2 linked regions of the Oryctolagus cuniculus genome follow. The protein of the gene in region 1 purifies or fractionates together with the protein of each later gene. This does not show direct contact. Links are inferred from orthologs where the notes say so. Each region holds a gene or a part of one and is shown on either strand. Other genes may lie near its edges.

Evidence for each region. The genes of interacting proteins can lie anywhere in the genome.
Region 2: the proteins of TUBGCP2 (region 1) and LGALS3BP purify together in Homo sapiens (affinity purification with mass spectrometry; 3 studies listed by BioGRID and IntAct, counting the BioPlex papers as one, with this or other methods). This does not show direct contact. The link is inferred for Oryctolagus cuniculus from reciprocal best matches to the Homo sapiens genes TUBGCP2 and LGALS3BP.

What each region holds. Positions count from the first base shown.
Region 1 is NC_091446.1:266,469-270,479, forward strand, and holds part of TUBGCP2 (gamma-tubulin complex component 2), read left to right. Parts: intron 1-1,807; coding exon 1,808-2,015; intron 2,016-2,205; coding exon 2,206-2,405; intron 2,406-2,688; coding exon 2,689-2,878; intron 2,879-3,806; coding exon 3,807-3,952; intron 3,953-4,011. UniProt on the Homo sapiens protein: Component of the gamma-tubulin ring complex (gTuRC) which mediates microtubule nucleation.
Region 2 is NC_091448.1:2,763,409-2,768,032, forward strand, and holds the start of LGALS3BP (galectin-3-binding protein), read left to right. Parts: upstream 1-1,445; 5' UTR 1,446-1,599; intron 1,600-2,820; 5' UTR 2,821-2,841; coding exon 2,842-2,893; intron 2,894-3,573; coding exon 3,574-3,765; intron 3,766-4,599; coding exon 4,600-4,624.

The DNA.
Region 1 (4,011 bases):
GTGGCGGGCATGCGGAGTGGCATCGCAGGCGGTCAGCACACACTGTTGAGGGAGCAGACTCGCGGCCAGATGCGGCACCCAGGTGAGCACCTGGGGAAGTGAAGCGCGCGCTCGCACAGCACTTGTGCTGCTCCCCAGGGCTTCCAGGCCGAGGTGAGCCGAGTGGTGGGAGTGAGCCAGAGGCAGCACCTGAGTGCCAGCAGAGGTGGGGTCAGATGTCGCTGGAGTCGGGCCTTCAGGCCCGGGGAGAAACAGGACAGGCCAGCAGAGGTGGGGTCAGATGTCGCTGGAGTCGGGCCTTCAGGCCCGGGGAGAAACAGGACAGGCCAGCAGAGGTGGGGTCAGATGTCACTGGAGTCAGGCCTTCAGGCCCGGGAGAAACAGGACAGGCCAACAGAGGTGGGGTCAGATGTCGCTGGAGTCGGGCCTTCAGGCCCGGGGAGAAACAGGACAGGCCAGCAGAGGTGGGGTCAGATGTCGCTGGAGTCGGGCCTTCAGGCCCGGGGAGAAACAGGACAGGCCAGCAGAGGTGGGGTCAGATGTCGCTGGAGTCGGGCCTTCAGGCCCGGGAGAAACAGGACAGGCCAGCAGAGGTGGGGTCAGATGTCGCTGGAGTCGGGCCTTCAGGCCCGGGAGAAACAGGACAGGCCTGGGGAGAAACGGAGCTGCGAGCACAGGAGCAAGCGCTGTGATCCCAGTGTTTGCCACGTGGCTGCTGCCTGGGCCAGCCTCCGCTGCCCTTGTGGGACACTTCCCTTCCCAGCAGGTGTGTGAGGCCACGCTCAGTGGTTTTGTGAACCACACAAGTGTGCCCTCTAATGCCCCCACAAGGTCCCAGGCTGTGGCTTTCTGGTTTCATGTTTAAAGATTGAGATCTTCCAACCTCTGGTTCACTCCCCAAATGGCCACAGTGGCCGGAGCTAGGCCAGGCCGAAGCCAGAAGAGCCAGGAACTCCATCCTTGTCCCCGACATGGGTGCAGGGCCCACGCACCTGGGCCGTCTTGTGCTGCATCCCAAGCCGTTAGCAGGCAGCTGGATGGAAAACAGAGCAGCAGGCCCTTGAGTCAGTACTGCAGTAAGGGATGCTGGTGCTGAAAGCTGCGGCTTAACCCACTGCACCAGTGCTGGCCCCCTGCACCCTGGTTGATTGGCCCCCACTGAGTGTGTGGGGACATCCGGGACAGCCCCACTGTCAGCTGGAGGTTCGCTCCTGCTGCTCGGCGGTCTGTCAGGTTGCATGCATCCTGCAGCCGTCTCGGTGCATGTGACAGAAACGCAGTTCTTGGGGCGGGTGTCGGCACAGCAGGTTGGGCCGCCACCTGCAGTGCCAGCATCCCTCCCACACTGGAGCGATGGTTCAAGTCCGGCTGCTCTGCTTCTCATCCAGCTCCCTTCTAATACACCTGGGAAGGCAGCAGAAGATGGCTAAGGTGCTTAGTCTCCTGCACCCATGTGGAGACCCAGAAGGAGGTGTGGCTCCTGGCTTGGGCCCAGCCCCGGCTGTTGCAGCCATCTGGGGAGTGAAAACAGTTGAGTTCTTCAAGTTTGGAACGGTGTCATCTTAAGGAGGAGCCTACAAGCATGGCTGGTGCTGGGAGCACGCTGCCCCCGCTGTGCCCCCCAGGTGTCAGGTGTCCAGGGCCTGTGCTCAGTGGGAGGAGCCGGGGCAGTCTGCACCTGCCTTGCTGCCACAGTGTCTGAGCTCCTGACCTGCGGTCACTTGAAGTCACTGACTGCCTGTGCCAGTGAAGGCAGGTGTGACTGGCCAGTGGGGCCCTGCGAGCCTGCCCCGTCTGTGCCCTGCAGGTGCGCTGCCCTTGGCTTCCCAGGAGTCCGCTGTGGTGGAGGACTTGCTGTACGTGCTGGTGGGTGTGGATGGCAAGTATATCACTGCCCAGCCCCTGGCCGGGAGGCAGAGCCGCACCTTCCTCGTGGACCCCAACCTGGACCTGTCCATCCGGGAGCTGGTAAACAGAATTCTCCCCGTGGCTGCCAGCTATTCCACCGTGACCAGGTAGGTGCTCAGCCCCAGGAGCCCGTCCTGTGTAGGCAACAAGGCGTCTGCTGGTGAGCGCAGAGGCCGTGCCTGTCCCGCTGTGGGGCAAGTCCCTGCCCGGCGTCCTGGCTCCCTGCTTCCAGCAGGGACGGGGCTGAGTGAGCCCTGTGCTCCTGCTCAGGGCGGCCCTGGGGTGTTTTCCTGGCAGGTTCATTGAGGAGAAGTCGTCCTTCGAGTACGGGCAGGTGAACCACGCCCTGGCGGCCGCCATGCGCACCCTCGTGAAGGAGTACCTGATCCTGGTCACACAGCTGGAGCAGCTGCACAGGCAGGGTCTCCTGTCCCTGCAGAAGCTCTGGTTCTACGTGCAGCCGGCCATGCGCACCGTGGACATCCTGGCCTCCCTCGGTATGCAGCCAGCCTGGGGGCAGCGCGTGAGGGGCGGTCCAGGCCGGGAGGGGCTGTGTGGTTCGCACTTCCAGACCCAGAGGCCTGTACCAAAGCCTGTGTTGCTTTATGTTTTACGGATTTGTGGGAGAAAGCCCGGGAGCTTTTTGACGAGCTTTAGGTGCCGGTGACATCTTCACAGTTGGGGGTGCTCCCAGAGGAGGAGCACCTGTCGCATGAGAGTGGGAGGAGCCCCAGGAGACGCCTGTGGGTCCCCAGCTCTGAGCCCCCCTGCTCCCTGCAGCCACCTCTGTGGATAAGGGTGAGTGCCTCGGGGGAGCAACGTTGAGCCTGCTCCACGACAGGAGCTTCAACTACACAGGCGACAGCCAGGCTCAGGAGCTGTGCCTGTACCTGACCAAGGCGGCCAGCGCACCCTACTTTGAGGTTCTGGAGAGGTGGATCTATCGGGGGATCATCCATGACCCCTACAGGTAGGCCCCTGCTCAGCCAGGGCCCCGTGGCCATGCGCGGCCGCCGTCCCCCAGACAGAGCCTGTGTGCACAGCCGAGGGCTGGGGTGCGATTGGCTGCACCCGGTGACTAGTGTGTTGTGTAGGGGACGTTGGCGCTGCCTTGATTCGGGATCCTTGGGCTTCCAGGTGTGACACTGCCTGTAGGTGCTTCCGCTGTGGGCGTTCGAGTGACGGGGGCACTGTCCACACCCAGAGCTTTGGTTCTTTGGTGTTAAGATGGGAGAAGTGAGCCTGCAGTGCAGGCGTCTGGCTGGGCCTCACACCACAGCGCCCAGCTTGCCACGGTGACTCCTCGGGAATATGCCCTGACGGTGTCGGGCTCACGGCCCCTGACGCCAGTGCTGTTTCAGAGCCTGTGTTCATCGTGGAGGCAAATGCTAAATTCCAGGAGAGGTAGATCAGTCGCCATCCAGCTCTGTGCACCCTTGAGTTCCCCTGACTCCAGGTTAAATATCCAGTTTCGGGGTGAGGTTTCTAGGTTCATTTTATTCTTTAAAGGTTCATTTATTTGAAAGAGACAGAGACGGAGAGGTGAGAGAGAGAGAGAGAGAGATCACCTATCTGCTGGTTTACTCCCCAGATGGCCACAGTGGCTGAGGCTGGTCCGGGGCAAAGCTGGGAGCCCAGGACCCCATCTGGGTCTTCCACGTGGCCGGCAGGGGCCTAGTTTGGGCCATTGGTCACTGCCTTCCTAGAGAGCTGGGTTGGAAGCAGAGACTTGAGCCCATTCGGGATAAGGTGCCAGTGCCCCAGGTGGCAGCTCCTGTAGGTTTATTGTAACTCACGGTTGAGAAGTGACGGCCCTTGCAGGGTTGGTGGAAGCGAGTGCCCCGGGGTGGTGCTGGAAGCCGCTTGCTTTGCTCACACCTGGGCCCCGTGGCTTGCAGCGAGTTCATGGTTGAGGAGCATGAGCTGCGCAAGGAGAAGATCCAGGAGGACTACAACGACAGGTACTGGGACCAGCGGTACACCATCGTGCCGCAGCAGATCCCGTCCTTCCTGCAGAAGATGGCCGACAAGATCCTGAGCACAGGTGCGGGCCCTGGAGGCCCCTGCCAGGGACTCTGCCTGGGCACAGCCCAGCCGCGCACC
Region 2 (4,624 bases), on another chromosome or scaffold:
AGGAAGGCCTTGGTCGCACAGGCCTGAGGCGGGAGGAGGCTGGCTCTGGGCACCCTGCAGCTCCGTGTAGAAGTCACTGCTCTGCCGGTCCACTTCCTCCCGCGTGGACCAGAGCGGTCTCAGCTTCCCGCCCGTGGCCCATCCAGGTGGGGGTCGGCGCCTCGCCGCGCGTGTGCCCAGGCCTCGAGGGCGGCTTGGGCGGAGTCTGACCCAAGCCTGCCTGGCGCTTGGCAGAGAGCCTTGGCCTTGGAGACAGAAGTGGCGGTGAGGGGTTCTGCCTCCAGCTGTGGCCGTCCAGGCCTGCGGGCCCCCGGGGGCTCAGATGAACCAAGCAGGGGAACAGCCACGGGTCCCACCCAGCGGCTCCCAGAGCTGCCACGTGCTGACAGGGCCCCTGCCTGCCCCCGCCCCCTGGGAGTGCGTGCAGCTCCAGGTGGTTCTGTTCGGGGCCCTCATCTGGGCCCATGGGACGCAGGAACAGAAGCCAGAGATAGGGGGCCAGCATTTTGGCTCAGCTGGTGAAGCCGCCACCCATGAGGCCGGCATCCCATGTGAGTGCCAGTTCGAGTCCCGGCTGCTCCACTTCTGATCCAGCTCTCTGCTGTGGCCTGGGAAAGCAGTGGAAGATGGCCCAATCCTGGGCCCCTGCACCCGCATAGGATACCGGAGAATGCTCCTGGCTCCTGCTTTAGATCAGCTCAGCTCTGGCCATTGTGGTCGTTTGGGGGAGTGAACCAATAGATGGAAGACCTCTGTCTCTCTCCCTCTCTGTCTCTCCCTCTTTGCCTTTCAAATAAATAAATCTTTTTAAGAAAAGAAACCAGAGGTGATGTTGATCGGGTCACTGGGCCGCTGGGCCCAGGACCTCACACCCAGCGTGGTGGCTCAGGGCGCCATCCCCTGAGAGGACGCTGCTCCCGCTGGGCTGTCTGGGCGCACAGCCCTCCCCGACACCATCCCTGCGGCCAAGGGCGCCCTGGGACCTCGCAGCTGGGGATGGAGGCGGGGGGGGGTGGTGTGTGCTGGGCGGGGCCATTCGTGTTCCCGTTAGGGGAGTGACCGCTCTGCAGTGTGGGTGGTCAGCCCAGCGTGGACAAGGCCAGGCCCTGGTGTCAGGTACTGGGGCAGCTCCAGCTCAGCCACGTGCCGGCCGCTTTCCTGGTCTCCCAGGGCTCAGGGCCCCCTGCCCGACTGCCTGCGGGGGTCAGTGCCCTGCAGCCTGGCGGGGTGTGGGCTGCCCACCCAGCCAGCAACGTGCTGGGCCCAACCCTGCCAGGACACAGCGCTGCCGTCTGCCCCAGGGCCTCTGCTCCGCTGTCCCAGGCTGGCCTTCGTGTTGTGGTCCTGCCCCTCGCTGTAGGTCTTGTTGTCAGAACTTGGGTGGCTGCCATCCCCACCCCCACAGCCAGAGCAGGAAGGAAGAGGGGGCCTGGCCAGCAGAGCTGCAGCCAACCCCAGCGGAGGCTGCAGTCAGGTGGTTTGTGGGAATCGAAAGTCGTCCCTGTTCCCTGGAGCACTTCCTGGGGCCGCCCCTCCACACTGCAGGCTGGGCCTCCAGCAGAGGCGGGAGCCTCCCGCACAGCCACCTGTGCCAGGCAGGTAAGCCCCTGTCTACGCAGGCAGCCAGCGTGGGCCACACTGCAGGCACCGGGCCTGGAGCAGGGCGCCCCGGGCTCCCGAGTCCAGGGACCACCCCCGCCGCGCCTGGGCCCGCAGGGCCTCTGTGTGTGGTTGTTCCCTGCACAGGGACCCGGCCGAGGCAGGAGGGGCCAGCGTTGAGCCCTCAGCCCTGTCTTGGGCCTGCGCGTCCCCGCCCGGGCCTGGCCCCAAGGCCTTGTTCTCACCTGCACGACAGCACCGCACGGAGGGCGGCGGCCACGTGCCAGGGCCTCGCGTGGCCCCCATGTCCGGGGCCCTGACTTCCTGTCCCCAAGGGAACAAAGCCGGCCCTGCAGCTCCCTGGGAAGTGGGGCAGGGACAGCAGGTGGCCCTGGCCCTCCTGCCCGTGAAGGGCGCGCGGAGCCCTTGGCTTCCCTGGACAGCAGCCCCTGCACGGTCGTTGGGGCCAGGACAGCTACTGTGCGAGGGGCCCTGGGTGACCACGTAGTGCGGGCAGCCACGCCGGGCCCCCCACAGACTGCTGCACTGGGTCCCAGCGCTCGCGCAGCAGTGAGGAGCCGGGCCTGCCTGGCGGGTGTCCAGGCCCCCGCTTGTAGCCAGTGCTGCTAGTGGCCACCGCGGGTGTCCCAGAGAAGCAAACGCTGGCTCTGCCGGGGGCAGCAGGGCGGGCGGGGACGGGGGTGGGAGGTGCCCTGGGGAGGACCCCACGGCCTCTCCCAGCCTGTGTGTCCTGGGGACCGGAGCCGAAGTCCACGTCGTCCCCCTCTGGCCTCCCCCCAAGGGGCTCTCAGACACGCCCGTCTCCCACGGAGCTGCAGGGAGAACCCGCCAGGCAGGGACTCCCTCCCCCTCCTCCCCGACCCGAGCCCAGCCTCTCTGGGGCCCGGATTTCACTCCTGTCGGAGCCCCTGCCCTGCCTCTCACCTCCCTTCCCCTCTGCCCGCCTTGGGTGCCTCTGGGGCTCTGCCGCGCCCTGGGCCCCCGGCTGCGCCTCCCCCTCCCTCGCCCCTGCCTCTGGCCCAGGCTCACTCTGCCTGCAGCCCAGGCACAGCCCCCCCCAGGCATCCATGGCACAGGTCGCCTTCTTGTTCATCATGGGGAGATCTCGGGGGGGGGTTGCGGGAGGGGGTCCCTGTGTGCCCCGCAGCGGAGTGGAGGACGGGTCGGGGTGCGGGCTCACGCCGCTTCCTTCTGCTGCAGGGTCAGGGCTCCAGGGAGGCCATGGCCCCCCCACGGCTCTTCTGGGTGTGGCTGCTGCTCGCCGGGACTCGAGGTGAGCTGAGCCCGGGAGGTGCCCAGGGCCGAAGTCCACGCGCCTGCTGCCGCCCTGCCCCGCGGGGTCAGGGTCGGGGTTGGGGTCGGGGTGGGCCCCTCCTCCGGAGAGCTGGGAGGTGCTGGCCAGGTCTCTCCTGCCTCAAGCCAGGCGGTACCCAATGAGGGTGGCTTGTGTCTTCCGGGGACCCCGGGTTCTGGCTTTGGGGGGATGGGGAGGGGACCCAGGAACTCTGTCCCCAGTGGGGATGGGGGCAAGCACATAGGCCGGTGGCGGGGGTGGTCGTGAGGCCAGCAGCCTCTGGACACAGGCCAGGCCTCCAAGGGTCCTGGACACCTCCCTCCCCCTCCCCCTCGCCAGTCCTGGAGCCCATGGACGCCCCTGCTCGGCTGCCCTCGAGGGCCCCCACCCAGTCCTCTCTGGGGTCCTGCCCCTCTTGTCCAGTGCTGGAGAGCACCGGTTCCTCGTCCGTGTCCCTGTCCCTGTCCTCAGCTCCGGCCACGCGGACCAGGGAGACAAGTCAGCCTCGCGGGCTGGGGGCGGGGTCTGCACGGGTGTCACCCAGCCAGGGTGGAGGGCGCTTTGACGTGAGGGACCGGCCAGCCTGACCGGGGAAGCCCTTACAACCGCCGCGCTGCTGGGTGGGCGCCGCGTCCAGCTGACCTTTGCCCTCTCCGCAGGCGAGAAGGACGGGGACATGCGGCTGGCCAACGGGGACGCAGCCAACGAGGGCCGCGTGGAGATCTTCTACAGGGGCCAGTGGGGGACCGTGTGCGACAACCTCTGGGACCTGACGGACGCCAGCGTCGTCTGCCGGGCCCTGGGGTTCCAGAATGCCACCGAGGCTCTGGGCAGAGCCGCCTTCGGGCCAGGTGGGGCTGCCCATGCCCAGCACTGAGACAGGCCCGCTGCAAGGCCTCTGGGCCTGTTCCCTCTGGCCGCTCCGTGCTGGGCCAGTCCCCTCTGGGCCTGATCCTGAACCGTTCCCTCCCGAGGAGAATCTGTGGGCAGGAAGTGCCCGCTCCCCGCTGACTGAGTCTGGAAAAAAAGGGGAAAAACCCAAATTCGCAGCGGCGGGGCCCACAGCGTGAGCCAAGCCCAGGTGTTGGCCGTAAGAGATCCAAACCCACGCTGGACCGGCACCGTGGAATAGCCCGGTCCGAGGCCTGCATACAGGGGACGCACGCTGCAGAGGCGCGGGAACCCCAAAAACCAGCCCCCCGTTTTCTGAAAAGTCTCCTCCAGGGCAGGTGTGTGGGTCCGTGGATCAAGCTGCATCCCAGCCCGAGTGCCGCCCCGCCCCCGTCCAGTCCAGCTTGCAGCAGGTGACGGCCCACGTACCCAGGTTCCTGCCACCCTGTGGGAGACGCAGTGGGCGCTCCTGGCCCTTCGGCCTGGCCCAGTCCCGGCTGTTGCTGCCATTTGGGGAACGAACGGGAGGTTTCTCCATCTCAAATAAATAATACTTGAGCATTTTTTCAAGTGAGCGACAGAGGGAGCTCCCGTTTGCTGGTTCCGTCCCCAAATGCCCGAAATCTCTGGGCCAGGGCTGGAGCCGGAGGCCAGGAGACAATCCAGGCTTCCGTGTGCGTAGCCCGAGCCATCGCTGCTGCCTGCACGGGCTGCGTTGACAAGCAGCTGCCGCCCCGGCCACGGGCCCGGCGCCTGCTCACGCCCCGGCCCTGTCCACTTTGCTGCGCCGACAGGAACAGGCCCCGTGATGCTGGACGA